5 linked regions of the Neurospora crassa OR74A genome follow. The main gene of each other region encodes a partner of the protein of the gene in region 2 in a complex. Links are inferred from orthologs where the notes say so. Each region holds a gene or a part of one and is shown on either strand. Other genes may lie near its edges. The genes, in order: NCU06216, NCU09297, NCU07679, NCU09063 and NCU02828.

Region 1 (4,758 bases), on a different chromosome or scaffold from region 2:
AGCGGCATGGCGAGCAACTACGACATGTCCCGACTCATTCTAGGCCAAATCACCGCCCTCCTCGCCGTAATCTTTAGCCTCAGCGCCGCAATCAAAACCGTTTCCCCGACCCGTTCTCTCACCCCCTTACTGGTGATTTCCATAGCCTACAGCATTATGATGTTTGCCAGCAGCTATGTCGAAGAAGAGCAGCACTTTTGGTACCTAGCAACGAGCACCTGGTTTGGCTACCTCACTCTCCGCGGATTCAAGCGGTACGTCTTCCCCTTTTCTCTTTTTCTCCTTCATCATTTCACACCCAACCTTAACTAACAACCCTCACCGCCCTCCAGCGCCAACACCACCTTTCCCGCCCACCTCCTCCTCACCGCCTTCCCCGTGCTCGCCTCCCTCCGCCTCCTTCGCGCCTGGAACCAAACCGGCCAAAAACACGCTGGCACGCCGGACATCGTCAAACTCTTTATCGAACCCCACCCCCACTTTCTGTGGTTGCTCGTCGGCCTCACCTACTTCTGGACCCACCGGCAGCTCGTCTACTCCTTTCACGGCCGCATCCCGGTACCCATCAACTACCCTGTCATGACGGGGCTAGTTTTGGCCGCGTTCACTTTCAAGGCAGCCTTCACGCTCGAGGACGCTCCCGAGTTGGTGGTGGAATTCGTGAAGAGTAGTTTGCTTGATTTCACGAGGGGCGCGAGCTTGATTGCCCGCGCCCGTGCGGTCTTTGTCGGTCTAGGACTGGTGGCAATGGCGGCAATGGGGTTTATCCTTTGGGAGATGAGGGGGGCCGGGGGGAACCGTAAACGGTCACGCCGCAAAAAGGGGCCGGCCGAGGCAATCACAACTCTTCAACACCTTTACACCATCCTCGCCCTCACACAAAGCCGGACGGCCAATATCCCCGTCTTTCTCATCTTCAACCTGCTTTACTGGTTTCTGTCCAGCGAGATCGATGCCCCGGACGGCACAGGGCTGTCGACTGTTGAACTGGGAATTTCTTCACTCCTACTGCAGTATGCCTCCTTTTTCGCTATGGGCGGTAGCAACGCGATTTCCTCCGTGGACCTATCTAACGCCTACAACGGGGTGAGCAATTTCAACGTTGTCCTAGTTGGCATCTTGACGTACGTGGGGAACTGGGCGGGACCGGTGTGGTGGGCTTTTGGGACGGTGGTGCTTTTGGGGGAGATTTGGCGGAGAGATCAGAGACAGAAAAGGTTGGGTAGCGGTAACAATGGGAAAAGAGGGAGCGACGAAAAGGAGGAAGAAGCGGAAGCGAAACAGATGCTTGAAGGGGGGCAAATCAGTCCGTTCAAGACCTATGTTGCCGTGACGACGCTGTTTACCGCGTTTAGTGTCGCGGCGGTTATGGCGGCTTGTACGATCCTCAGGACGCACTTGTTCGTGTGGACGGTATTTTCCCCAAAGTACTTGTACTGCGTGGCTTGGAGCTTGGTGCAGCATTTGGTAATTAATGTTGGGCTGAGTGGGTTGTTGTTCTGGCTTGGGTCATTTTAGGTAAAATATGAGGTGGTACAATCTTGTCCAAGAGGACGAGCCCAAGGAAGGGCCGGGTGGTTTGATAGGATGTGTGGATCATTGTGTGTTGGTTGCTTGTAGTAGATATAAAGGTTAGATTAGAACGAGTAGATAAATTCTCGAAATCGTTCCTCAGCATCACTTGGATGAGGAGATGCTAAAGTTGAAATGCATGGAAGCAAACAAAGAAAGCCTTTTGACATTTCATTCAATGGTATCCTGCAATGTTCAAGGACAAAATAAACCAAGGCAATACGTCTTAGCCCAAGAAGCTCAGGCCTCGACAGCAAGCAAACGACATGAACCAAAGCCAGAAACACAGAGCCTCCATATATTACGTAGTGTCCCATCCAAACCCAATCAAGTCAGTTCATATGTAGTTCAACAATCCAGAATCTCCGTCTTCAATCCGTACGCAACCCTATTCGAAGTCGTCCTCTTCATCCGACAATAACTCATCAACAAGCTCGTCATCATCTTTCCCTTCGTTCTCTCCATCATCGTCATCACCGTCCTCCTCCTCTTCTTCCTCTTCTTCTTCTTTCCCATCCTCTTCCCCTCCTACCTCATCGTCCTGTTCCTCGTCCTCGCGCTTTTTTTCTTCTTGTTCTTCTTCGTCCTCCTCCTCAATCTTCGTCCTCTCCATCACCGTATCTCCATCACTATCATCCAGTATCTCCTCCGCAATATCCTCCGTACCTGCTCTGCTGCTCCGTCCAGCACTCAACCGCGCCTTGGCTTTCATCGCACTAGCCCTCCTACTCCCTCTCCTTCCTGTCGGTTGTTGTTGTTGTTGTTGTTCTTCCTGCTCCTCCTCTTGTTGCTGCTGCGGTTGTACGCTAACCACACTCTGCGAGCTCTGCCTCCTACTCCTCAGAGAAACGCCTCTCAACAACCTTCTCTGTTCCGTGCTCGGCTCCTGGGCTTCTGTCGCAGTTGGTTTTGGTGTTGTTTCCCGATCACCAGCATTATCATTATCGCCCACTTGCGTACCACCCATTTCCACATCCTCGCCCTCGTCCTCGTTCTCGTCCTCCTCCTTGATGGAGACGCCAACGCTGACCTCCCTTTCCTTTCTCTTCCTGCTGTTAACAGGCGCAGCAGTAGCACCAGACGCAGATGGTGCGACGGAACCGGCTCTGGACACAGCCCCGCCGCCGCCGCCGCCACTGGCTTCGCTAGCCGGAGGCGCCACGCTACCCGCCCGGCTAGGAGCGACGCTGCCTGCCCTGCTGGCGCTTCTTCTATGGGTGGTGGCGCCGGAGGCAATGGAGGCATGGCGGCCCGCGGCGTTGTTGGCGGCATCTTGCTCGGCGGCGGCATCAAGGGCGTTGACAATCTTGCCAAGGGAGACATGGACCTTGTAGAGGGCGTTGCGAGAGGTGGCGTCGGAGAGGAGGTTGTTCTCAACAGCGTTGGTGACGAGGGCGTAGACGTCGCGGATCTTGATGGGCGAGGAGGGGTTGGAGGAAGAGGAGCCGGATGGGATGTAGAGCTTTGCGAGAAGGGCGGCCATGATGCGCTTTTCTTCTTCTGTGTCTGGGTGTCAGTATCACGATTTGGTGGGAGAGGCAACAATGAATACGTACTGGCTCCATTTCCTTGTAGCCTTTCGAGAATATCCTTGGCGAAGTCGAGGTGCACATCTGCCGAAACGGTCTTCTTCTCGGGGTCAAGGCCGGCGCTGAACCCTTCATCGGGGTTGTAGCACTTTCTGGGATCCGTCCAGTCGACCAAGCAGGCAGCGATGGTCGACATGCTGACCATCTGATCATCTACATCGGCCTCTTCGTCATCCAGGCCTTCGCGCACATTGTACAAGGTATGCAGGGCATCCAGCGCAACCCGACGCATCAGATCCTGATTCTCTGGCCGCGAGTAGCAGAACACAGGCAAAAAGTAATTGAGTGCCTGTCTAACGCTCTGGTTCTCTGCACTGGCGGGCTCGAAGTACGCGATAACAAGGGTCTTGAGCAGCTCCGCGGATACGTCAACGTCACTAACAACACGGCCGAGCAGGAGTTTGGAAACGGCCACAGTAGCGGCCGCCTGGACCTCGGGAGATCTTCCGCCAGCGCGCAGGGCCTTGACGTAAACCTTGAGGAGATTGGTGTTATTCGAGAGCAGCTGCGCGCCGTGCACATTGAGAATATCGGTAAGAATATGCAGGGCGGTGATCTGGAGAGCAGTGTGGCCCTTTGCGAAGAAATGCATAAACAGGGTGAGGTTCTCCTCGGCAAGCGAGCGGTCGAGGAGCGAGCAAAGGCCGAGACAGACGAGACCACGCTCGCGAACAGGGGCCTCGTGGCTGCGCACGGCGGGAACGACGAGGTTGTTGAGCATAGAAACTAGATGATCGTTTCTCTGGAGATTGCCGGCGACATTGGTGAGCATGCACTGCACAATGTGGAGACACTTCATGTTGATCATGATCTCCTTGATGGCTTTCTGAGCCGCCTCCTCCTCCGACAGTTCAGGACCCTTGTTCTTCTTTTTCTTAGATTGAGAATCTTCGTCGTCGCTGACCTCGGATCTAGCTGAGTGAAAGGACTCGTTGTCGTCAATGTCGCCTTCGTCAGGAACATCGTCGACGATGGTGTCGTGGACGTCAGCAACGGCTTCAAGTACAATACTGCAGAATTCCTTCTCGCCGGCAGCATCGGGGGCGCAAAGGTCTCGTAGCACCTGGACGGTGAGTTTGGTGACTTCATCGGGGAGTTCCGGGATAGAGAGGGTTTGTCGTAAAAGGGCGAACATCTTGCGACGGCCAACTTCATCCGAATAGTCCAGGGTAAGAGCGATGTGTAGAAGCTGCTCGACGATGAACTCTTGCTCGACTGTGTCCTCTTCCTCTTCCTCATCTTCCACTTCTTGCTCATTGATCCTCTTGATGGCATCAATGAGCACCTTGACGTATCGCTCCAAGTAAAATGCAAGCTTGGTGACTTCGGGTAGCTTCTCGTCGACGAGGGACTCGTATTTCCCATTGCCCTCGTTCCTACAGAAATCATTAAATGTCCGGGCGACAAACACGGATTCCGAGCTAAGTGTCTCCCAGAAGTTGTCATCAAAATTCACTGCATTTCTGTAGTCAGCACGGCCCTCCCAAAAGCCCTTCATAGCTTCGAGAGCGACACCGTTCTCTCCTCCGGAGTTGACAACATCAATGCGCTCCAGGAGCTCCAGCAGAGCCTCTATGCTTGGGGGTGACACCTCGGA
Region 2 (4,866 bases):
TCTTCCTGTCAATCGGCACCACCCTCATGCAAATCATGGGCGTCTACCGCAACTGCTTCTGCTACATCACCGTGGGGTACTGGTTTGATACTTCAAACCCAAACGCCATGGTTAACGTTGCAAGCGACACGTGGTACCAGAGGCACTCAAGTCGTAATTGGATGGTGATGGGCGGGGTGGCGACGGCGTTCATGGCTGCTTGCGCGTATATCGGGTGGTGGTTCCAGGGAATGATAAGGAGGGAGCTGGCCGAAGTGGTGGAGGGGGAAGTTTGGCCTGGGTATGGGGGTGAGAATGTGAAGGAAAGTGGGAATTGAGAATGGTTCCAAGGTTCCACGGCGATGAAGACGGAGATGTGGGACGGGAGTCAAGAGAGGGAGAGACATGGAGGCTGGCCTAAGGGATGGATCTCAAGAGGGGGAGTGGGAGTGGGAGCATGACATAAAGTGAGAGAAAGTAATGTGTAATGATGGGATGCCGTAACCGAGAGTGATGGCGTTCAAGGGGGAGTTACAAGTAGGTTTGGGTTCAGCGTTTGTCAGTCTGGTGTTACTTCAGGTGCTAGATGGTTTCAACTGGGTGCATAACACGGAAGGATGGTATGGCGCATGCACATGGCGCGCTTGGTGCTAGAAACACAGATGACTGGTTGTATTACTATGGAGAGCATCGAATAGAGAAGGAACAAGAGAGAGAGGGCGTAGCAGAAACTTAATATCACCATATAGACCATGGATACAAGGCTGTTTCACTTCAGATTGTGTACGTGAATGGACTGACTGCAATTCCCTCCATCAAATCACGAGATTTCGTCCAAGACCTCATCTACAATCAGCCCTAACCTCACACCTGCAAAACTTACAAGTCGTACGACTACCTCTACGTTATCTAAAACTGCTCGCCATCCCCAGCCTCACGTCCGTACCCCAATCCCGGTGATGTCGGCATCTCCAGAACCGGCGATGTCTTCTTGCTATCCACCCCATGCATGAGCAGAAACTTTTCTAGGTACCTCGACTGGTCGAAATCATGACCCGCTTCGAATCATTGCTGCTAAGGCGTTCCGAACCCTACTATATCCCCAGAAGCTCCTTCCAATCCAACCGCTGCGTGATCCGGTCATCCCCGCTCCGGATCGTATCGGGAAGTCGTACATACCCCGGCGCACTTCACCATCCTGCACCATCCCGATGGCCCATCCCGATTCGAGGATGCCATGATTCCCACACACGCTACCCCAGATTTCCCCGTTCATCAGTCTGTTTAACCGCGTTGGGACTCCCGGTCATAGCGACCCGGCTATCCCAACACTGCAACGTCGTTTGACCGACGAGTATGGTAAAAACTAAAAATACTCCTGAATATTGGTGAAGAGGGTTGCGATTCCATTTGCCGAACTACCTGATGGAAAGGCTGAAAGAGAAACCGCTAATACAATTCTCATAAAGCAGATGCTTTACCTGCGCTAGGTGGGGGTCCTTCTCAAAGTTTGACATGGTCATGATACAACAACCCTAACGCCGTCCACCCAAGTCCCAATATCCGAACCATATTCGAATTTCCCAAGATCCCTTCCACACATCCAACCTCTTCCAACACCCATGTACACCACAAAAGACATAAAATTTGTAAACATTCATCCGCAATCTCCATTACCCATTCCACCTTTCCTCAAGCTCTCGCCTGGGTAGCTTGCGTAGCTCTCTGCGTCGCTTGCATCCCCTGTTGCCCAGAGGGAACCACCTTGAAACCCTCCGACACCACTTTAGCAATCTCCTCATTCTTGTGCTGCAATAGACCCAGCGCAAAGGCAACATCATTCCACTGCCTCTCCGTATCACACCTCTGCAACCTCGCCGCCAGCTTCTCCGCCAGCTGCTTAGCATGCCTATCCTTCTCCACGAAGCCGAGCAGAAACTTGACCACCCTCCTGAAACCCTCTTCCTCCAGACTGGGGTCGGACGAAAGCAAGCTGAACATGTCGACGAAGTGGTTGTAGACCGCATTGTCTTTGGTGGAGAGTTCGGTGAAGAACATCCTCGCCAAGTCAGCGATGCGCTTATCCCCGTCTTCGAGACATAGGGCCATTGACGCCAGTTGGCCCTTGACCTTGACCTGTCCGGCCAAGATGAGGAAGGTGAGCGTCATAAGACACGTGCGCTTGACCGAGGGGTCAGGGTCCGACAGGCGGCGGTAGAGGAAGTCGGTGTTTTCGTCGATGAGATGGTTGAAGCACACGGCCATGTCGCCAAGGGCAATGACGGCGTTGGAGCGCACGGTGGGGTCGACGGAGCGCTCCATAATGGTGATGAGAAGGGGGAGGTTGGCTTCGCAGTATTCGGAGCTGACGCACATGAGCTTGGCGAGACACAGGGTGGCGGCTTGCTGGAGTTCGCGGTTGCGGTAAGTGGTGTTGTTTGCGCAGATTTCCGACACCATGGGGCCGAACATGGCCAGGAGGGATTGCGGCCCATAGAGCAGTTCGCGCTCGCGAATATGAAAGATGGCTTCGGTGAAGTCGTCTTCGGTGGTGCCGCCAATGAGGTCGAGTTCGTCTTGTTCTTCTTCGTCCTTGGCGGCTTTGGGGCCGCCTGATTTGCGGCGATTGGTGGAAGCGGAGGCCGAAAGGGATGTACGCTTGCTTGTGGTTCCAGCTGCCTTTTCCTTCTCCTGTTTACGGCGCTTAAAGTCCAATTCACACAGTTCCAAATGAACGATCTGCTTGATGGCTACGTGGCCAACAATAAAGAGGAGCTGGGAAAGGGCGATGGCGTGTTCTCGGTGTTGCTTCTTGGCTTCAGCATCTTCTGGTTGGGTGGCGACTGGTGCTTGGGCGGATGTGGGCTCGTCCTCGTCCATGGCGTCCGGGTTGGGCTCTTCAGCTGGCGTGGGCTCTGCGCTCTCTGTTGGCGATGGCTTCTCCTCATGAGAAGCCGAACGCGACTTGGGCGGGCGAGCGAACACGCCCTTGGTCTTGCGGCGAATGATCTCGGAGCACAAAACGTCGGGGTGCTTGGCGATGGCATAGATGGCATTGATGGCTTGTTCGGCAACACCATACCACTCCTTGCTGTCAGTGGGCACCTCGGTGATGGCAGCAAGCTTGATGAGCAGGGCATGGTCGTTCGGTAGCCGGGAGAACTTGATACCGGAATCCTTGGACTGACGACCTGTGGGGTTGATGCGTCGAAGAGCAACGCATGTGTACTTGGCCAGTTGAAGATCTGCCCGACCGTGAGCGCCGAGACCGGTACGAAGCATGGTCTCCATCTCGCCCACGACAATCTCGGGATTGGCCGTGGCCAGCATACCCAGCACAATGATGGCGCCCCGACGCTGTGTCCTCGAAATCTCCCGCTTCTGCACGCCGTAAACCTGCCACAGCTTAGCAATGACCAAATCCGAGATCATGCCCGACTTCATCATGGTGCTAAGCAGCTGTTCCAGCGAAGTTAACTCAGCAGGAGTGGCACCGAACGTCAAACTAATCATGTTCCTAGCAATGTACGTCGCCGCGTCATTGGCATTGAAGTTGCCAGGCGCCTCGAAGAACAGTCTCTTGTAGCACTCGATCAGATGGGTCTGCACGCCCTTGCCTTCATCGCTATTACCCTTGGTCCAGATCAGCCTGAGCATGCGACGGATGCCGATCTTGTTCTGCTCGATGTTGTATGCGTCGCCGATCTCAAAGTAGTCCATGGCCTCGATGACCTCGCTCTTGTTTTTGGATCCGAGGAGCTGGCAGACGGTCTCGGTGGCCTCGTGGAGGACGTCGATAAACTTGAGCGCCTCGCTGTAGTAGCGCTTAGTCAGTGTGAGCTTCTCGATGGCTTCAGAGGTGGCTGCTTCTTCTTGGGCCCTGCGAATGGCTGCAATCTTTTCCTCCTCTGTCATCTCTGATGGCTGCTTTCTGGGAGATTCCATCATCTGGGTGGCATCGTCGAGGAGTGCTGGGTCTACGGAGGTGTTGCCGGCCTCGCCATCCAGCCCCGGAGCATCCACCGGTGGCTTCAAAGCGTTGAGCTCTTCTTCCACTTTGCCCAAGCGCTCCTGCCAATCCTTCCTGGCCAACTGGGCACCATGGAGAGCGGTGAAGGGATGAGTTCTGATCAAGGTGCCGAGCAACTTGATGGCATTCCTCCTGACGTGGCTGCTCTTGTCTTCGAGACTGCGGCAAGCGAGCTCCGCGGCTTTCTGTCGGCGCTTGGGAAACTTTTGCTCCAACTCGCAGAGCTTGATGTAAACCTGGATGGCCCTGACACGACAGTAAGGGTTGATGTCGAGGAACCTTTCTTCCAAGACATCAAAGAAGGCGTTCATCTGGGTTTTGTGGTTCTCGCCTCTCTCGGCCGACTTGCTAAGGTGTATCAACATGTTGCCAAAGACTTCGATCAAAGCGCAACGTAGGGTATACGATTCGCTATCTAGCTGCTTGGCCAGCAGGGTCACCTGCTTGATGATGATCCTGGGTGCCAGTTCGGAAAGCTTGATCATAAAGGTCGAGACGGATTTGGGTCCCTTGTTGTCGTTGCTGTTGAACTCCTTGTTACTGAGCTCTCGTAGGATTTCCTCGGCTAGCTGCGGGTAGTCGTATTGCTCGGCCAAGATGTGGAGGAACTCGGCCATGGGCTCAGCCAAGTGCTCAAAGTAGGTCAGATTCTGGACAATGGAGATTTGCGCGGCATAGCCGTGACCATGGTGCTTAATGGCAACACACAGCACCTTCCAGCAGTGCATACGTATGCTGGTATTCTTGGTTCGTTGCTCGCTCTCGAGTATCATATACACCGGACGAGTCAATAGACCAATAAAGGTGTCGCGCTCAGACGTGGTCATGAATATCCTGGCGAGCTTCAGCCTAAGAGC
Region 3 (4,840 bases), on a different chromosome or scaffold from region 2:
ACTGCGCTCAACATGGAGGCGGACCTACCTCGGGAGTTGAGGCTGCACTTGGGAGTGAGTAACAGGCTCGGCTTATTTCGCGTCGACCCGTCCCGATTGCGGGAGGTGTATCGAAATGCACCCAAAAAGGAGGAGGCCGGCTATCAACCCGTTACCGGCTGGCAGGATGCGGTACGTTTTCGTCCTTTTCCTACTCCGTGACTCGAGGACATCAGGCAAATCCAGACCGTATAACTGACCACAACGGAGGATTTGGTAATAGTATCCCGTGCATATGCTCAACCTTTCAAGCGTTCAAGATTTAGACGCCAAAATCAACAAGGATGACAGCCTCAAATCACTCGACCCATTGAGGTTTCGAGCCAACATTATAGGTAAGTCAGTCCGGACGCTACCCATTCGGACATTAGTCGACCAAAACCCCCCCAAAGCTCTTGGGCCATTTTGCTGCCCCTCAGGGGTCATTAGGCACATGGCTAGTAGAGGAATTAGGTGTTCATTATGGATGGTCCGAATCATGCTGTCTGGGCAAGCTTTCTAGAAGCAAGATTCCATTTCGGCGCAATATCCCCATTGAAGCAACCCTGCATTATCCTCTGAAAATAAGGCCCAATCTCGTAACGCTAACAACACACTCTTTCACCCACGTACACACACTAACCTAACCTCATCACACATCACAGTTGACGGTGTCGAAGCCTATGAAGAAGAAACCTGGAAGACAATCCGCTTCAATCCTGAACCTTCCAATAAAAGACAAGACAAGACCCATTTCCACGTATCTGGCCGATGCGTACGGTAAGTGTGTGAAGGACTTCCCATATCTAGTAGAAATGTTATATATACTAAAGGATTGCCCCCAACTAACCCCAACAGCTGCAAAATGCCCAACGTAGATCAAGACACGGGTTTCCGTCACCCTGCCGAGCCGGACCGAGCCCTCCGAAAGTACAGAGACGTAGATCCGGGGATTAAGGGTGTCGGTAGTCTCGGCATGCAGCTGACCCCTTTATACCGTGACCCTACTACCGATGTCGAAGGAGTTAATCTCAATAACATGGTGATGGAAAGCTGGGTCGAAGTTGGTATGAGTGTCGAGGTGCTGAGCAGGGGGCCTCATCGGTATGTGAGGATGTATGAGGAGGACAGACCGGATATCTGAACCGGAAAATGATTACAGCACTGGGTCTAGGCGGTTAAGCAACGTAGACCAACGGGTATGGGGGAAATACCGTCGCTATCCAGATGGAGTGCACCAGTGGGTAGACTTGGACTGTAAGAATAAAGGAATAGGATCACTCCCGAACAATAAAAATCAGCGAGGTTAGGTCAAGGCTAGTACATAAACGTCGCTTCCATGTGTCAGCTCAATAACCGCACGCCAGAATGTCCCGAGTTGAAGACACCAAATTTGTTCGTTGATTCGAGCTCCCAATTGTCGATTCTCCATATTCGTTTCCCACAATTACACATGAAGCGTAAGAGCTACAAATTCATTCATAACTCAACCAAGCCAGATGACATCACGCCCAAAGTTCATTGACAAACGACCATCCTGCTTCCTTTTCCTCCGCCCTTCGGTATCCCAATCCCAGCCTTTGATCATACAAGTATATCTGCCTAAAAGGTGAACATGTCACTTCAAATCCGCCGGCGTGAGCGCCTGCACCATGCTCGTTCCCTCGCTGAATCTCGTCCGGAAGATGCGGTTGGCGTTCTGGAACATGCCGTCCTTGAGACTGACGACGATGAACTGCGAGCCCTTGAACCGGGTCTTGATCAGACGCCCAATGTTCTGCGTGTGCGACAGGTCGAGCGCCGCGTCGACTTCGTCGAGAATGTACATGGGCGCGGGCTTGAACTGGAGGAGAGCCATGATGAGGGAGAGGGCAATTAGGGATCTGGACGACGACAAAGTTAGTAGGCTTGATGGGAGATTTTTGGATGAAAGGACGGGCTGAGGTGAGTTGAATTGGGGGAGGCGGTAGAAAGAAAAAGAAGAAGAAAAAAAGATTTTGAAAAACAAAAATTTACCTTTGACCACCACTCAACTCGGTAAGGCTCTGCTTCCACACTTTACCAAGCTGCACCTTAACTTCCAAGCCCTCGCTGATGGTCTTGCCTTCGGGAGGATCCAACTTGGCGAAACTGCCCGGCAACAGCTCGGCAAAGATCTGTCCAAAGTCGGCATTGACCTTCTCCCACGTCTCCTGCAGCGCCTTCTTCTTGTAGTCGTCCAGACTAAGAATGGTTTCCTCGATCTTGCGCTTGTCGCGGATGACGGTGCGCATCATGTGCTTGAGCGACACCTCCTTCTTCTCCACGCTGTCGATCATGTTCATCACCTTTGGGTTGATCTTTTTGCGCAGGCCCTGGCTACGCTCCGTCAGGTTCCGCAGCGTGGACTTGCACTCGGCAATGTTCTGGCCCTTGAAGTCGTAGAGCGTTCCGGGCCGGCCAAACTGGTCCTTGGTCTCGGCGATCCAGTCGTGCTCGCGCTCCATGTGTGAGGCTGTCTGCGCGGCTTGCTGCTGCTCCTTGTGGAACTTCTCGATCTGGTGACCGAGCTTCTGCATTTCAAGCCCCTCCTCGGCGATTCGAGCATTCTTGGATCTGGTAGCATCTTCCAAAGCCCGGAGCTCGTCGTCATACACATGCAGTTTGGTCCGTTCGTCTTCCAGCTGTGCTAGGACGGCGTCGTGGGTCTCTTGAAGGACTGTTCCTTGCTTCACTATGTCGTCGATCTCCTCCTGCTGGGCTTTGAGAGCAACGTCGATATCTTGAACCTGCTCCCGCGCAGCTGCGAGATCCGCAGCAACCTGCTCGGAGTCCAGTTGCGCCTCCTGAAGCTCTTTTTGCAACGCCTTGTTTGTAACAGACATCTTGTCCAGGGACGCACGTAGCTTGTCGACTGAAGCTTGCAGCTCCACAAGCTTAGCGTCTTTATTATTGTCAAAGTCCTTCATGTCCTTTTCGATTCTTTTGGCTTCGGCGGTGGCTTCTGCCTGTCGCTGCTTGGCCTCCATGATCGACTGCTTGAGTTGGACTATTGTTTCCTTCATATTTGCAATCTCTTGGATGATCGATGATGATGAGTTGCCGCCAATTTGCTCCTCCGCTAGCTTGATCTCATGGGCTTTGAGGTCAAGTTCTTGCTTGATTCTCTTTGCTTGGTCAAGTTTCGTTTTTTCCCGGTAAATTTGGCCGCGTAGCTCATTGAGGGCGGTCTCTGCTTCCTTCAGCTGCCGATTGATTTCATTGAGCTTCTGCAAAGTAACCAAAACGCCGCTCGAGTTGGGGGCACTTCCACCCGATAGTGTACCAGATGGATCGTACGAATCACCCTCCACTGTGATGCTCCTCATGCGGACATTTGGATCGAACGTCACTCTCTTGGCTGTGTCTGCATCAGCGCAAATGAGCGTATTTCCAAAGACATAGTCCATTGCCGCTGACACTTCATCGTCGTACCCAACTAGGGACAAAGCCAGGTGCACTTTTCCTGGAGCGATTCGTTGCGCATTGGCAATCGTTTGTGCAGAAGCCTTGAAAGCAGAGATCTTGTTCAAGGGAATGATGGTAACCCTCTTTCGCAATCTACCGCCTTGCAGTAGTTGTGTGCCAGTGACTTCGGTGTCAACAACCACGTTGTAAAGACGGCCTCCAGCGCAGATCTCCAGCGCTGTTCCAGCTTCCATATACTCTTTGGGTAATGAAAAGAGTTGCGCGACTAGCCCTTTCACTTTTGATCGATCAAAGTTTGGGACTGGATCGGCGTAGTTGAAGTCGATATTTGCCACCTTGCGTTTAAGCGCATCGGCTTCTTGCCTGAGATTGCGGATAGTCTGCTGGAGCGAGCTTTCCTGCTTATACATTTCTTCCTCCGTCCCGGGTTGGAACCCAAGCCTTCCAAGCTCCTTCTCAAGCCTCTGAGCCTGGGCTTTCAGGCCATCGAGATCCTTCAGCAAGCCGGCGTTTTGCTCTTTGGCCTTCCTGGCCCGGGGTTCTTCCCCTTTGATTCGCTTCTCCAGATGGGCGATTTTGATCTTTGCCTGCTCTTGTTCAGTTGCCGCAGCCGTGGCCCTGTTTCTCGCGTCTTGTAGTTGTCCTTGGTAACCGTTCTCCTGTCCCTCCTTGGACGCAACACCAGTTTGCAGGGTTTGTAGCAGCTCTTCCTTGGTGTCTGCTTCTTGCCTCTGCTTTTCAAGCGTCTCCTTGGCGGCATCGTATTTCGCCTTGATCTTCTCGTACGTCTTCGTCTTCTCCTTCAGCGCCGCTTCCAGGTCCGCAACGTTCTTCTCTCCAGCTTTCCTCCGTTCCTGCTCCTCCTTCATACTGCTCTTCTTCAAATCCACAACAGTAGCAAGCCTTACCAGCTCGTTGGCGTGCTTCTTCACTGCTTCTTCCAGGGCTTGAGCCTTGCCACCTTTTCGTAATTCCTTGTCGCGCTGTGCCTTAACCCGTTGTAAGTCCTCCTCCAGATGGGATATCTCATTTTTCAGCCGGATAGCAGATTCCTCAAGTTCTTTCTGGCGCTGCTTCTTCGCCTCAAGATCCGATGCTGACTGTTGTAGCTTCTCCTGACACCTTACGTAATCGTGCGCCACCACGAGCCTTGTCAATCGCTCCAGGTCGTTTTGTGTTTGCTGAAAGTCGAGGAATGCGCGCTTTTCGGTTCGTAGCTTCTCCAGTTTCGGTTCGATCTCATCCCGCAAGAGTTCTTTGATCTCCTGTAACTTCATCTCCTTCTTGGCCATCGTCTTGAGTGCTTTGTCCCTCCTGTCCTCGAACATCCTTGTGCCAGCTGCCTCCTCGATCATGGCCAGGATTTCAACGGCCT
Region 4 (6,775 bases), about 460 kb from region 2:
GGACATGGCTTCTGGATCTTCGTCTTCCTCCTCCTCCTCTTCCTCCTCGTCCTCCTCGTTCTCTTCGGCCTCGGCGGCTTCGGCCTCGAGTTGGGCTTGGAGAATGGAATCAGGGTCGTCGACGTCCATGGCATCAGGGTCGGCAAGTTGTTGAGGTGCTGCTGCGTCGCCGCTGGTGCCGCGCTCGAGATCTTCAATGTCTTGGAGGGCGAGCTTGGAGAGCTTGTCTTCCCAGTAGCGCAGACGCTTCTGGTTCTCAGACAGGATCTTTTGGTTTTCCTCGAGCTTATTGCGCATCTCAATTTCCACCGCCCTTGTCTCGTTGAGCTCGGCCGTCTTCTCATCCAGCTCCTTCTTCATAGCTGCCAGTTCTTTCTTCTTCTCCTTGAGTGCCTCCTGGGCCTCTTCAACACGGGTCGTGAGGCTCTCGGCAGTATCGCCCTGGTTCTGAATCTCCTCTTCCAGAGCCTCGGTCTCCTGAATGGCATTCTGCAGCTCTTTAGACGCCTTGTTAAAGTCCTTCTCTAGCTTGTGCTTCTGTTTCTCCGCTTTCGCCATCTTCACCTCGGCGGCAGAAGTTTCCTCGTTTTGCGTGGCGATCTCTGCCTTTAACGAGTCCACAGCGGCTTTTTGAGAGCGAAGCTTTTCACCACCTACCTTCATGATCTTATCTTGAAGAGCCTTAATTTCATCCTCGACGGAGGACATCTCCTCGCGCAGCTTCTCGACCTCGCCCTCAAGCTTGGCAATTTCCTTTTCAAGGGCGGCGACGCGGTTGTCATCCGTCTTGGAAGGCTGTTGCTCCTTGCTGAGCTCCTTGATACGGCGCTGGGCATCGGCAAGGTTGCGCTCCGAGCTCTCAACTTCGAGGTTGATCTTCTGCATCTTGGTCTCAAGCTGGGGAATCATGGACTGGATCTGGCGCAGACGGGACTCGAGTTCTCGTTGGCGGTCTTGGAACTCGTTGAAGGCCTGCTCCAAGGTATCACGGTCCGCCTCAAGCTTGTCAACTTGCTCCTTGGTGGTGTCAGCCACAAGCTTGGAGGACATCAGACCCCGCTTGACTGTAGTGCCACCACCGGTCATGGTACCTGACTTATCGATGAGCTCGCCGGCAAGGGTCACTACTCGCCATCTCTTAGCGCCATAGGCAATGCGGTTTGCCTGAGCGAGATCCTTGGCGACCAATGTGTCCTGAAGAGCATGGTAGAAGGCAGGTCGGAACTTGTCGTCTTTGGGCTTGACAAGGTCAAAGAGACGAGGGGCGTTTTCGGGAGTCTGAATAGGAGACATGTCGCGGACTCGCAACTTGTCCAAGCACATAAAATTACCACGTCCGAGGTTGGTTTTTCGGAGATATTCAATACATTGCTGACCGGCCTCAACAGTGTCGGTGACAAAGTTGTCCAGAGCACCACAGGCTGTAGAGATGGCAATATCGTACTTCTGGTCAATAGCACCGAGATTTCCAAGTCGTCCATGAAACCCATCGATACGACCCGACTCCTTCATGCGCATAAGGGCAGTCAAGACATTGCCTCGGTTTTGTGTGGCGGACAAGCTCGACCGCGCCTCGTCAGCCTTTTGGCGGGCATTCGAAAGCTGTTGCCGGTACTTGGGTTCCTCCTCCGCAAGCTTGGAAAGTTCAGCCTCGATCTTCTTGCCCTCCTTGATCAGGTTCGCTCTCTCAGCTTTGCACTGCTCCATCTCCTCCGCCTTCGCCGCTTGCCTTTCCTGGATGGCCACAATTTTCGTCTCCATCTCCTCAAGGGCCACAGTTCCGGCATTGGCCTTTTCCCTGAGAATGGCCAGCTCACTCTCCGCAACGGCAATGGCGGACTGTTTCTGATTGATCTTGTCCTTCCAAGGCTCGAGAGACTTTTGCTTTGCCGCGATCTGATCCGAGTACTTTTGCGTCTTGCCCTTGAGGCTCTCACGTATCGTCGCAAGCTCGGCCTCCTCTTCCTTGACCTTCTTCTCCAGGAAAACAATGTCCTTTTGACGACGCTCAATCTCCTTGGTGCAGTTCTGAATGGTCTCCTCCGCTTCAACAGCCGTCTTCTCGGCGTTAGCGATCGTCTTCTCAAGCTTCTTACGCTTGTCCGTCAAGAACTTCCGCTTCTCCTCGAATTTGACGCGTTCCTGCTCGAACTTGTTCATCTCCTTGACCAGCTGCTGTGTCTGCTTCTCCCAAGAGTCGTATTCCTTGCTACCCTTGGAGTAGGCCTTTTCCAACTGCTTGATGAGCTGTTCGCTGCCGTGGTGCTTCTCAAGCTCAGCGTCAAGTTGTGCCTGCATCTGACCGATAGCCTCCTCTGTGACAGCAATATTGTCGTCGCATTCGCTGATGTATAGCTGGTAGAGAGCCGACTGTTTCAGCGCCAGTTCGTTTTCATCGCGAACATACGCCAGCGCCTTGTTCTTCTTGTCCTCGAGACTGTTCCTTTCCTTTTCCACGTGCTGGACACGACCACTCTTCTCCATGCAGATCTCGTTGAGGGTTTCGACTTCGGTGGCCGACTCTTCAATTGGTGTCTTGTATTTGGAAGTGCCAATAATGTCTTCTAGGTACTCCAACAGACCATCTTCGTGCTCGTTGCCGGCTTTGGGCTTCATCTGGGCAATCGATTCGACTTCGCCCTGGAGAATGAGAAAACGCTTGTGATCCAGATCGACACCACGGTCGCGGAGTAGCGTGGTCACGGTGGTAAAATTGGATGATTTGCCGTTGATGTAGTACTGGCTCGAGTTGTTCTTGAATGCTTTGCGCGAGATGACGAGTGTTGAGTCGGGGATAACCTCGTGGCCACCGCCGGGCTATCAATGTCAGCACAATGACTCCCCTTCAAAACAATGTTTGACTTACCAAGTCCATGACTTCCTGGAAATGCACTTCCACCTCACAGTAGTCGAGATTCGGAAACTGCGCCGAATTGTGAATCAAGGCCGAGATCTTGCCTTGTCGCATCTTGCTGGCACGGAAACCAAAGACGAACAGCAACGAGTCGATGACGTTGGATTTGCCAGAACCGTTGGGACCCACGACCGAAGAGAACGAAGCATGGAAGGGGCCGACCTCCTGTCTACCGGCGTAACTCTTGAAGTTGATGAGCACAAGATTGGTGATGACAATGCGTGGCTTCGGGCCGGTATCCTCGACGACGGGAAGAGCCATGGTCCGTGACTTGAGCACAATATCCATGGGCTTTTCCAGAATAGTATCCATAGCCCTGACGGGCTTCTGGGCCGCCACGACGGTTTCATCTGCTGTTGATGTTGGCTGTGTGTTGACAAGGGTCTCTGATGCCGCGGTCGCTGGAGGTGGTAGGTTGATGAGGGTCTGGGTGATGTCCTGTAGAGGAGCAGGTTGGCGATCGACGCGTTGAGTTGACGGAGAGCCTGGCGTTGGTGTCCCTTGACGGCTGGCTTGTTGCTGTTGCAGCTCGAGTTGTTGCTGCATGATCTTTGCTGGCGATCTGCTGAGGCGCCGCACAAGAGTTCTACGCTTCCGCGGGGGTGACTGAATTTCTTGCGTATCCCGTGCTTCTGGCTCCGCGATCACGGCGGTTGTAGCGGGCGAAACGGCAGACGCGACAGTCACATTGGGGTCGATACCCTCCTCGATCGGCTCATCCTTTGGCTTGACGGCAGGCGCTGGGGCTTCGGGTTCGGCTTGGGGATCGTTATTCGCTTCGACACTCGGTTCGACACTGGGCTCTTTGCTGGGTTTGGGCGCGGCATTCTTCTTAGGTCGTCCGCGCCTTTTCGGCGCAGCTTTTGGTGCCGGTGCCGGTGCAGTTGATGATGATGCTGCTGCTGGTGTTCCTGCCCTAGGAGCGGGCGTGGCAGTGGATCTTCTGGTGGTTCGCTGAGCAGTCTTGCGGGCTGCCGAAGCTGGCGCGGGTGTATAATCGTCCTCCTCGTCGTCATCTTGGGCGCCTCTCGATGTGGTGTTTGCGATATCGTCGTCTGATGAGGATTCTTCGATGATGGCGGCGCGCCTGGTTGCGGCGGCCCGACGCGATGGGCGCGTCGACATGACTGATGTCTGTCGGTGGTTTCGGCCTGCAAATTCTCGACTCGATGATGAAAACAACAGAACAGAATGGAACAGAAAGCGCTGCAAGATGCGGGTATCAGACAACCAAGGAGTGAAAGTTTATGTAATAACAAGTAAAGATGAAAAATGGTATTCACATTTCGCAGGGCAGTTGTTGCGACAGACACGGAATGGGACGCCCACGCAGAAACTCTTTGAGTGCTGTCGCAGCTTCTTCCTTGCCCCGCCGCGGTTAGATTGTTGACATTCAGGGCAGTTTTTGGACGGACGCTTCTTGCAATACCGTGACTGCGGTGGTAAACAATCAGCCACAGCAGCCACGGGCAGCCAATGCAATTCGTGCACTGCAGCGGGCGACCCCTCCGCTGCCTGGAACGCTCGCACCGTGTTGCGCTATCACTGCATGCGTGGCAGGCTGGTGGAGTCCCGCTCTGTGTAACAAACATTCCATGCGCTTACGGCTTTCTTACCTTATCGATAAGCCAAGACAGGCCGTTACCTAGCGCAGGTACAGATCCGGGGAAGGCTCCATTCCAGGTGCAGGGGATGGACCTGACGGACCCGATGGCCGTTGCATACATGTATCCCAGGCCATGACGGCACTCATCCATCCCTTCGATTTTCCCTTTTCCCTTTCCATTCAATTCATTCAACAGCTAAGGACACTTGGGCACTTCAACTGTGCAATCCAACTTCAACATCACGATGCTCGACTATACAGAATACAACAACGTGTTCCCCTCTCCGGGATTCATAAACCCCTACGATCACAAGGGAGCCAGTGCCATTGAGACTTTCCGCAAATCATTGGGCGGCGTCCTGTTTGTGGATCGCGTCCTAAGTCGGTTAGGCATCGCCCAAGGTTAGTGTAGTGTAAACACCACACTACCACCTAATCACCCTAACAACCCATGCCCTGTCGTTATAGCGCGCTTCATCGCTAATCACCACTGTAACTACCTCTAGGCACTGCATATCCGCCCAGAGGTGAGAACGGCTTGCGCTCCCTCCACCAACAAATCTGCCAGAGCAGCGCCTCGTCGATCCAAAAGATATCCGTTCTTTACTATCTCCTCCTCGACCATGATGACGTCCATCCAGGTCGTTCGCATTGGGCGGACAGCTTTGCTGAGGAGACGGGACTGCCGAAAAAGTACCAGATCCTTATGAGGGGCCTGTGGCACATGGATCGCATGGAGTTCAAGGTGCGGACGTCCGTTTGGTTCTGGAACCTAAGTTGCACACTGGACATCAAGACGCTAACAAACGCTGCTAAACAGTACGCAATCGAAAACCTAACCCACCCATCCCTCCCCACCGAATTCGCCGACGAAATCACCATCGCCCTTGTCCGCCATCCGCTCGTCAACAAGCGCAGCTCCACCAGTCAGAGCGATTACACGCTAGCTCTCGCCTACTTCCACGCCGCCCAGCCCGTCTTTACTTCATCCGAGGCTCTCGAGCTGCTCTTTGGCGCTCTTGCTCGTACTAACGTCACCGAAGCACTCGATTTCTCGCGTCGCTACCCGGAGTGGACCCGCCAGCAGCTGTTTGAAAGGTTAGTAGCTTCCATTCTAGAGCAGCCGGACAAGTTAGGAGCGAGGGGCAAGGAACTCGTTAGCGCGGCGTTGACGGGCGAGGAGGAAAGCTGGTTTCAGGAGTACTTGAGGCACGGGGAAGGAAGGAAGAGTAAAGGCGCAAATGCGCTTTTGAGGATGAGAGGGGTTGTGACGGGGAGGTTGAGCAGCACTGCCGCTCTGGAGAACCTTGCTGGTTATTCGTGAGGCTAAAGAGTTGTGGGTATACCTTCATAGCTTGGCAGTTTTCTGTCGATAGGTTGATCTCTGGCAACGGGCATAGCGACGGCGTTTGGATACTTTTGGGTCTTGCCATGGGGAGATGGTCACCTGAGTCAACATGTTTATGACTGTTTATCGTCAAACCGACGAGAATGCTCTTTTGCTTTTTCGATTTGCAGCAACGAAGGTCGAGTCTCGCTGACTGGCAGTAATGACTGGACGTTCCTGATTGGTTTCAATCAACTGAAAGAGGCATCCAAAAAAAAAAAAAAAAAAAAAAAAAAAAAAAAAAAAAAAAAACCGCTCAAAGACAATTCTGACCACCAAAAAAGGCCTGAACAGAACTTCTTTAGCTCTTTGTTGCTTGTGTAGTCCGATCGCAACTATTACTTTGAAATCTAGGTACAGAAATCACTAATAGGAAATCATGGTACAATCTGTTTGAGAATGTACATTGAGGACAAGCGCGAGATCTCAAGTACCAAAGTCACTTCTACATGTAAGCATCTCGATTTCTACCCACTGTACCTAATGCGCTGTAAGTTCATCATAACTGAATTCTACTTTTACGCTCTATAATTGACACCAGTCACCCGATTACAAAAAAGACGAATTTGATACCAACCTTAACTTGAATACTAGAATCATTCACCTCATTGCTTCGTTAAGTGCATCTACTTCTAAAGGTATTGAGTAGAAAAACTGAGGAGTGGCTGAGGTGAGTTTTGGCTCTTTTTGTCGGTAAAAGAATCGTGGGGCGTTTTTTTGTACCAGCAACTTTCTCTCCGCCCGGGCAGTTGGGTAGCAGTGGAAGGCACCCATTCACTCTTTCCCTGCCACTCTAATCTCCAGGCGGTAACCGGCGAAACTCCCGCCGTGCCACGTCAATGTCTTCCATCTTTCTTCCCTCCAACGC
Region 5 (6,720 bases), on a different chromosome or scaffold from region 2:
TGAAGGGGGTTGGGTGGGGATATGATGATGATGGAAGAACAAAGTAAAAGAAAAAAGCCTATATAGGGATTGAAGATAATTGGTAATGATGATTTGAAGACACAAAATGGAGAGTCCTCGGGAACGATATGATGCGTGACCAAAGGGTTGTTTACAGGCTCTTCCTTGCTCCTTTACTTCAGTTGACCCTTTCACTTAATCTTTTTCACGCTGGTACCACATACCTCCTCATCTCACCTCTCTGTATTGGAAACCAACACTGTCAGAGACCCGTTGGGTATACCATTCCGTAACCCGTATTTCATATTCTTGATATACCACAAAGTGCTAGACCATACCATATCATACCATACCTTATACCTTATACTGGTTCATACGCTCACCCACCCACCCAGACAGAGAAAAAAAGGAAGAAAGAAACCTGCCAATCCACCCACCCACCCACCCATCTCACTCACTCACTCACTCGCTCACTCACTAGTGTACTATTTCTTCTCCTCTCCGTTGTCGTTGCAAAACAACCGAACCGTCCCGCTAAACTGGGGTATCAACGTCACACTCTACAACTACATCCACTCCAAAAACAAACCCCCATGCTATCTATCTCCATCTAGCGCCCAACTATCACTCACTCACTCACTCACTCACCACCCTCCTCAACAACAGCATTCGCGTCCTTCTTTATGTAGAGCTCCGTCAACTCCTCGCTCTTCTCAATCACCAACCCTTTTTCGTTGGCAAGATGCAACAAGCAAATGAAGCAGTAACTGGTGGAGATGTCGTCCATGGCTTGTTTCGGGTAGACTTTTTGCAGCGAGTTCATGACTTCTGTGAACTTGAGCGTTGGTTTTTCTTGCTGTTCTTCTTCCCCTTCTTTGGGAGGTTCTACTGAGGAGCTCGGTGGTTGGGCGGATGGGGTCGTCGTTGGGGGTGGGGAGAGGAGGGAGTCTTCGGGGTTTGTTGTTGTTGTTGTTGTTGTTGTTGGTATCTGTTGTTCGTGTTGTTAGTAACTGGGAGAAATAAAAAGAGGATGAAACAAAAAGAAAAAAAAAAAAAGAAAAGAAAAACAGGGAGGAGAAAAGAAGAGAGGAAAAAAAAAAAAAAAAAAAAAAAAAAAAAAAACGTCCGCCATTCAACATGTCCATCCCCATCCCCCGCCAAAGTTCCTCCTTCAGCCTCCTGACATCCACCTTCTTGGCCCGTCTCGCATACTGCACATACTCGGGCCTGACTCTTCGTGATTGCGTGACCAGCATCGTGCCAAACGCCAAATCGGCCGGGTTCGTAACCGTCAGCCCGTTAAACGCGCCCGTCATGCCCACGTCCATCGTCAGTCCTGCTGTTCCTTCTTTCCCGGCAGCGCCATCCCCTTGCGTGCCACCGGGGCCAGGCGAGAAGTGATCCCGTGCGTCAGCAAAGACTTCCTCGTCCATGTCTTCGTCGTCATCGTCGTCTCCGCCGTTGGCAAACGGCAGACCGTCATCCTGGAAGAAGTTGGCGTCGTAGTCACCCTGCGGTAGATGGTCGTCTTGCGATGATGGGCCCTGGTTCAGCGGCGCTTTTTGTTGGGCCCAGAAGGCCTCGTCCATGGTGCCCTCGGGGACTTGGTCTGGGTTTTGGTTGTCGGCATTGGAACGGCCAAAGGCGCGCTGCTTGCGGCCGAGACGGGCCTTGGGCTTGAGGAAGAGGTTGAGCAGCTGCTTGGAGCTGAAGTGCTTGTCGTCCGGCAGCAGGTTGCGCGACTTGGACTTCCAGTCCTTCTTGGGCAGCGAAATGGCCGAGTTGGTGGTGGCTTGGGTGTGCAGGACGTCGTGAAGGGTGCGATCCACGGGGGTGAAGAAGTCGATCTCGAAAGCCTGTTTCTCCTTGCGCTGGCGTTGTGGTTCTCCCGTTTGGGGTTTGTTGACATCTTTGATCTTGCGAATGCGCCAGTGCTCGGCGCTGGTCCAGTTCTTTGATAGGGCTTGGTCGAAGTAGCTGAGAATGTCCTCGTGCAGCCGGTCCGTCTTTTGGGCGTTCGTCATGTTAACCATGCCGAAATCGCCCTTGTCTTGATCGATCATTTCGAGGTCGCCGTCTACTCCATCACCATCGTCACCACCTTCGCCCTCTCCTATGTCTAGACCGGCGTCAAAGACCCGCATCATTTGTGGCTCGATGGCGGCTTCGCGGGCCCAGGCTTCTCCACCCTCACCGAAGGCTACGTCAACGTCTCCTCCCAGGTCGAATGCGCCCAGCGCATCATCGTCATCGAAACCGAGCGGGTTCTCGTCATCAATAATGAAGCCGGATTTGTTGCCGAGGCCAGGGGTCTTGGCTCTATCTTGCTCCTGGCGCCAGTCCTCGGGCGCTCTGAGGAAGGGAATATCGAGGGATCCGGAGGGGTCTCCGAGGATAAAAGTCTTGAGCGATGGGCACACATCCATCTCGTCTAGTCGTCCAAGATCGGGAAAGAACCTAGCACCAAGACTGGCAATGTCGATCTCCACATCGTCCTCCTCCTCTTCTTCTTGTTGTTGGGTCCGGGTCTGGGTCTTTTCGGTTTGGCCGTCGATTTCCATCGCATCAATATCCATGGCGTCCGGGTCGGCATCTTGGTCGTTCTCCTCGGCGGCTTTTTGGTTGCGTGAGTCGAGAGTGTCGATGGCGTCGTCGCTGCTGTCAAAGACGATGCGACCCTGCGAATCGATCATCAGATGGTTCAAGAGGAGACCCTTAGCGCCTCCCTCATCGAAGTCTGCTGATGCCTTTTTGAAGAGCGGATCTACTGAGAATTCGAGTTCGAACTTTTTGAGCTGCAGGGAAGCGAAAGAGGGTGCCAGGGTGGCTTCGGAGGATCGTTGGGTCTGCAATTGTCAGTATCATGCAACCCGCCCGTAGCAGTGAGCCGAGCAACCAACCTTCTTTCTACGCTTCTTTAGTACGTTGCCATTCTCGTCCACCTCGTCCTCCTCCTCATCGTCATCGCCGCCGTCCTCGCCCTCGCCCCTATCCCTCTTCTTGCTGTCGCGACTGTCGGCCAAACCACTGAGCAGCTTTCCGGTTTCCGTCGCAACACTGTCGACTCTGCTGGTATAAATCTTGACACACCCGTCCAGCGTGCAACTGGCCTTTTGGAAATTGACACCGTCTCCTTCCTTGAGTAGCGACATATCATGGAAGTAGTCGATCAGCGCAAAGTTCCACGAGTTGGCGGCATTGATCTTGTTGTCGGTGGCCATCTTCATCCACTCCTCAAAGTTGGCCAGGATGGGGACGCGCTTCATGGGGGTGACGACGGCGCCGCCCACAACCGGCCTGTCATCGTCGTCGAGGATGGAGAAGTTCTCCTTGCCAGAGATGCGGCGACGCGGGGTGCGCGGTCCGTTGGAGGTCGGAGTGCCATTTTCGTCGATTACGCTGCGGGCGGGGGTTGCGACTGCGGTCGCGGCGAGTTTGAGCTGGTTGATCTGGGCCTCGTGGAGGGCTTTGCGTCCTCGCGATCGTTGTTCCTTTTCTTGGGCGTCGTCGTTTAGTGGGATTCTAGTCGGGACGAATATCTCTGGTCAGTTACAAGGGAGGAAAATGAAAGAGGGACGCGACAAGACGTTCAATTCGCAATTCGCAATTCAAAGAAAAGACGTACTTGAGGCCGGGGGATTTGAGCGGGGATGGCACCGCAGGGCCCTTGCTCATGCTCCGTCGCGGACCTGTGCTGAGGCGAGGCATCTTGGCGGTGTTGACGAAGCTATCCAAGATGTGAAGCTCCAGGCGGCCGCTGTCTAGTTTGGACTTTCAGTGGTGTTTGTTTACTTTGACCCGCCCGTAACCACGATGGGAGTGCCAATGCTGGATAGGTAGCGCAGACACGGGCTAGACGGATCCACGTCTCAGCGGGCGGGCTGGTGACGGGTGGCGGCACGTGCTGGGGCCTACTACGCAGTACTATGGTAGAGGTAACTAAGAGCGGGGTGAGGAAGTTGAAGGGAGGAAGTCTGGGGGGCTTGGCATCGAATGACTAAGCTACCTCTACAGTCAAGGTACTACGCTCAGGTACAGCGGTACATTACAGGGCATCGATACATCCATACACGTACAAGGGACATACTGTTACATGCGGCGGCCGTTGGCGATCACACAGAGCCCCCCCCCCTTCTGGTACTTACACTACATACACGTGTACCTTGTATGTGGGGTTCACTTGGGGAGTTGAAACTCCGATTGAAGTTCCTGAGTCCGAAGTTGTCACGCATGTGCACTCCCTACATAACTAGAGAAAGGAGACGTATATCTACCTCTACCTAGTGTACAAGTGGCAGGGCATATGGGCTACCTCCCCCGTCTTGACCTCTTTGTGATGCGATCAAGACTCATCTCTCTTGTCGCCACAAATCCACAGCCTCTTGAGTTAGTTCAGATGGAAGTTCCGTTCCTGTTGGTCACCTCACCCGCATCGATTGGAGCTCGCGTATGTATGCACTGTAGAAGTATAGTAGGCATCTGTAGTAGGTATGTATTCCTACTCTACAGTCAAGACAGACTCCAACCGAAACAGCGTCTCCATGTCCAACCGGGTTGCGCATGGGGCTGCAGACGTTAGAAGGTAGCATTACCTTTCCGTGATTTTCCTTTCCTTTTTATTTTTATTTTTTTCTTCTTTTCGGTTGCTGCAGGGAACTTGTTGAGATCAGGAACACGGTAACACAGCGATATGTCAGTCTCCTGCCCAACCAGGAAGGTCACCCTCTTTTAATATTCCCCGCCTTCCTTCTTTGCCCTTTGCCTCTACTCTAGATTACATACATCGATAGCTTCTATCTTCTCGTTCAACTTTCTCCCAATCACCTATTTCCTATAGTATCTACACTAATAGATACCTACCTTGCGCCCATCCGTCGTCTACCCATCTCCAATGCAATGAATCTATCGTCTTGTCTCAGAGAAGCGGCGCATGGATACCTCGACGCACCAGTCCTAATCCGACCTTTCTGGCCACCCGAAATCACCTTGGCAACTTTGCGACGATGATCTCATTCCGCCTACATAACACAGCAATCCCGCCCGCCCACGCGAGCCACGCCATCGTCCCGTCAATCGTATACACCATACTGGACATACTTGTAGCCTTATCTGTTTTTTTTTTCTTCTTCTTTTCTATTTCTGCTGCTGGCAAATTTCTCTCTTTTTTTTTTTTTTTTTAATTCCGGCCATCATCAACATACGTACCTTGCGATCACATTTGCGATTGCGACCCAACGATAACTGCCGTTCGATTGCCCCGCCGGTCCATCCATCCATCCATCATCCATCACCGTGGCGACACTTCCCTTGGGTCAACACACCACCACCAGCACATACAGCCAGTATTCCCCACGCGATGCCATGACCAAAGGTCCAGCATGTCGCTACATCGCCAGAAACGGAGCCCCTTCAGCTCCCGACCCTTTATCGTGTCGACTCTCCTCATAACCTGTCTAGCAACCTATGCGCTCGTCCTCAGACCCTTCGCGACATCACGGTTGTTGCGCCAACCCGAACATGATCAACAACAACCACATAATATTGCGCGAATCCTCGCAAGAGGTCACCACAAGCACGAACCGACCGCCCCCGTCGATTGCCGCGATGTCCACCTGGTCCAAGACCAATGCGCCTTCATATTGGCCAACTGCGAAGACGAGGATGCCGGCCTAATACACTACCTGAGCTTCTACTACTGCACGCTACCCAATGCGAAACCCGTCGCCTTCGCCGTCCTGACCGCATGGCTGGGCCTCCTATTTACCACGATCGGCATCGCTGCCAGTGACTTCTTCAGCATCAACCTCAGCACCATCTCGAGCGTCCTGGGTCTAAGCGAGAACCTGGCCGGCGTCACGTTCCTCGCCTTGGGCAATGGCTCCCCGGATGTCTTTAGCACCTTTGCCGCCATGAGTTCCAACAGTGGGAGCATGGCGGTGGGCGAGCTGATCGGTGCTGCTGGCTTTATCACTGCCGTGGTAGCCGGGTCCATGGCCTTGGTTCGCGAGTTCAAGGTCCAGAAACGAACCTTCGTCCGAGATATCGTTTACTTTATTGTTTCCATCAGCTTTACCATGATGTTCCTGTTGGACCAGGAACTGCACCTGTGGGAGGCCAACGCCATGGTTGGCTGCTACATCTTCTATGTCATCTTGGTGTTTGCGTGGCAGTGGTTCACGGACAGGAGGAGAAAGAGGAAACAAGGGGAAGCTGCTGCTCGTGCTCATTTTTATGGCTCTACACCCGAGCCATCAGGAGAGCTGGAGCCATACCGGGATCAACCAGAGGATGATGAAGCAGCTTCGGGACATCATCGGCCTCGTACTGCTCAGACCGACATCAGCGCTCTGGAACATGGTCCCAGAATAGAAGTTGACGGACACGGAATTGCATCTACACCAAGCGAAGAAGAAGAGGATGAGCACCGCGATCTGCAAGTGGCTGCAGAGATGACCAGCAGCATGCGCGTCAACCGTCCCCGCTGGGGCCGAAGCAACTCCACCATCACTCCCATCAGACCTAGTCTTGTCGGTGCTTTGGAATTCCGGTCGATATTGTCGTCAATACAGAAGGAAAGAAACCAGCATAGCGGCTACGTCCGTGGACATCGACGGGGGAATTCCGATTATTTCTCAAATCAACCATCACTACCTTTAATTCGCGAGGATCAGCTATACCGGGGGCGTCAATACACCCTCGACACATTGCCGACCCTCTCGA

Evidence for each region.
Region 1: NCU09297 (region 2) and NCU06216 share a complex: the UniProt entries of both Saccharomyces cerevisiae proteins name them as parts of the condensin complex. The link is inferred for Neurospora crassa OR74A from reciprocal best matches to the Saccharomyces cerevisiae genes YCS4 and YCG1.
Region 3: the proteins of NCU09297 (region 2) and NCU07679 are in contact, whole or in part, in a cryo-EM structure (PDB 6YVV), measured with the Saccharomyces cerevisiae proteins. The link is inferred for Neurospora crassa OR74A from reciprocal best matches to the Saccharomyces cerevisiae genes YCS4 and SMC2. Residues at the interface, in NP_013374.1 of Saccharomyces cerevisiae: Val33, Ile34, Gln37, Asn95, Thr99, Leu104, Gln107; in NP_116687.1 of Saccharomyces cerevisiae: Ser53, Ala59, Ser60, Leu62, Gly111, Gln124, Asn139.
Region 4: the proteins of NCU09297 (region 2) and NCU09063 are in contact, whole or in part, in a cryo-EM structure (PDB 6YVU), measured with the Saccharomyces cerevisiae proteins. The link is inferred for Neurospora crassa OR74A from reciprocal best matches to the Saccharomyces cerevisiae genes YCS4 and SMC4. Residues at the interface, in NP_013374.1 of Saccharomyces cerevisiae: Glu901, Val1006, Cys1007, Val1012, Glu1014, Ala1044, Gly1045, Gln1046, Gly1088, Ile1090, Asp1091, Gln1126, Glu1129, Lys1130; in NP_013187.1 of Saccharomyces cerevisiae: Gln1283, Asn1290, Val1296, Asp1297, Ser1298, Leu1299, Asp1300, Ser1303, Met1311, Lys1314, Ser1316, Trp1317, Arg1360.
Region 5: the proteins of NCU09297 (region 2) and NCU02828 are in contact, whole or in part, in a cryo-EM structure (PDB 6YVU), measured with the Saccharomyces cerevisiae proteins. The link is inferred for Neurospora crassa OR74A from reciprocal best matches to the Saccharomyces cerevisiae genes YCS4 and BRN1. Residues at the interface, in NP_013374.1 of Saccharomyces cerevisiae: Glu365, Gln368, Asp369, Ser370, Arg375, Arg405, Ser406, Gln408, Asp409, Arg410, Trp589, Ile641, Ser646, Arg742, Asn786, Tyr789, Pro790, Glu793, Lys805, Asp807, Arg815, Val840, Val841, Lys856, Tyr860, Lys863, Cys864, Ile917, Arg957, Thr958; in NP_009455.3 of Saccharomyces cerevisiae: Thr166, Leu167, Phe170, Thr172, Ile173, Lys174, Ile184, Asp185, Pro186, Phe188, Ala191, Leu192, Phe195, Lys201, Leu203, Leu204, Leu205, Asn206, Asn209, Ile210, Asp211, Asn212, Thr213, Ala214, Arg215, Val216, Ile217, Phe218, Asp219.

Annotation. Positions count from the first base shown.
Region 1 is NC_026503.1:1,931,149-1,935,906, forward strand, and holds the end of NCU06216 (nuclear condensin complex subunit 3), read right to left. Parts: coding exon 3,129-4,758; intron 3,073-3,128; coding exon 1,961-3,072; 3' UTR 1,682-1,960; downstream 1-1,681. Other genes in the region: NCU06215 (transferase), read left to right, coding at 1-254, 333-1,518. UniProt on the Saccharomyces cerevisiae protein: Regulatory subunit of the condensin complex, a complex required for conversion of interphase chromatin into mitotic-like condense chromosomes.
Region 2 is NC_026507.1:35,062-39,927, reverse strand, and holds the end of NCU09297 (condensin complex component cnd1), read right to left. Parts: coding exon 1,672-4,866; 3' UTR 1,357-1,671; downstream 1-1,356. Other genes in the region: NCU09296 (hypothetical protein), read left to right, coding at 1-317. UniProt on the Saccharomyces cerevisiae protein: Regulatory subunit of the condensin complex, a complex required for conversion of interphase chromatin into mitotic-like condense chromosomes.
Region 3 is NC_026504.1:2,265,559-2,270,398, reverse strand, and holds the end of NCU07679 (nuclear condensin complex subunit Smc2), read right to left. Parts: coding exon 2,035-4,840; intron 1,902-2,034; coding exon 1,637-1,901; 3' UTR 1,299-1,636; downstream 1-1,298. Other genes in the region: NCU07678 (hypothetical protein), read left to right, coding at 1-171, 263-374, 684-798, 877-1,162. UniProt on the Saccharomyces cerevisiae protein: Central component of the condensin complex, a complex required for conversion of interphase chromatin into mitotic-like condense chromosomes.
Region 4 is NC_026507.1:494,123-500,897, reverse strand, and holds the start of NCU09063 (nuclear condensin complex subunit Smc4), read right to left. Parts: upstream 4,341-6,775; 5' UTR 4,040-4,340; coding exon 2,867-4,039; intron 2,818-2,866; coding exon 1-2,817. Other genes in the region: NCU09062 (hypothetical protein), read left to right, coding at 4,766-4,922, 5,027-5,265, 5,341-5,844. UniProt on the Saccharomyces cerevisiae protein: Central component of the condensin complex, a complex required for conversion of interphase chromatin into mitotic-like condense chromosomes.
Region 5 is NC_026501.1:8,975,806-8,982,525, forward strand, and holds NCU02828 (condensin complex component cnd2), read right to left. Parts: upstream 3,709-6,720; coding exon 3,626-3,708; intron 3,523-3,625; coding exon 2,901-3,522; intron 2,847-2,900; coding exon 1,185-2,846; intron 989-1,184; coding exon 641-988; downstream 1-640. Other genes in the region: NCU02826 (sodium/calcium exchanger protein), read left to right, coding at 5,379-6,720. UniProt on the Saccharomyces cerevisiae protein: Regulatory subunit of the condensin complex, a complex required for conversion of interphase chromatin into mitotic-like condense chromosomes.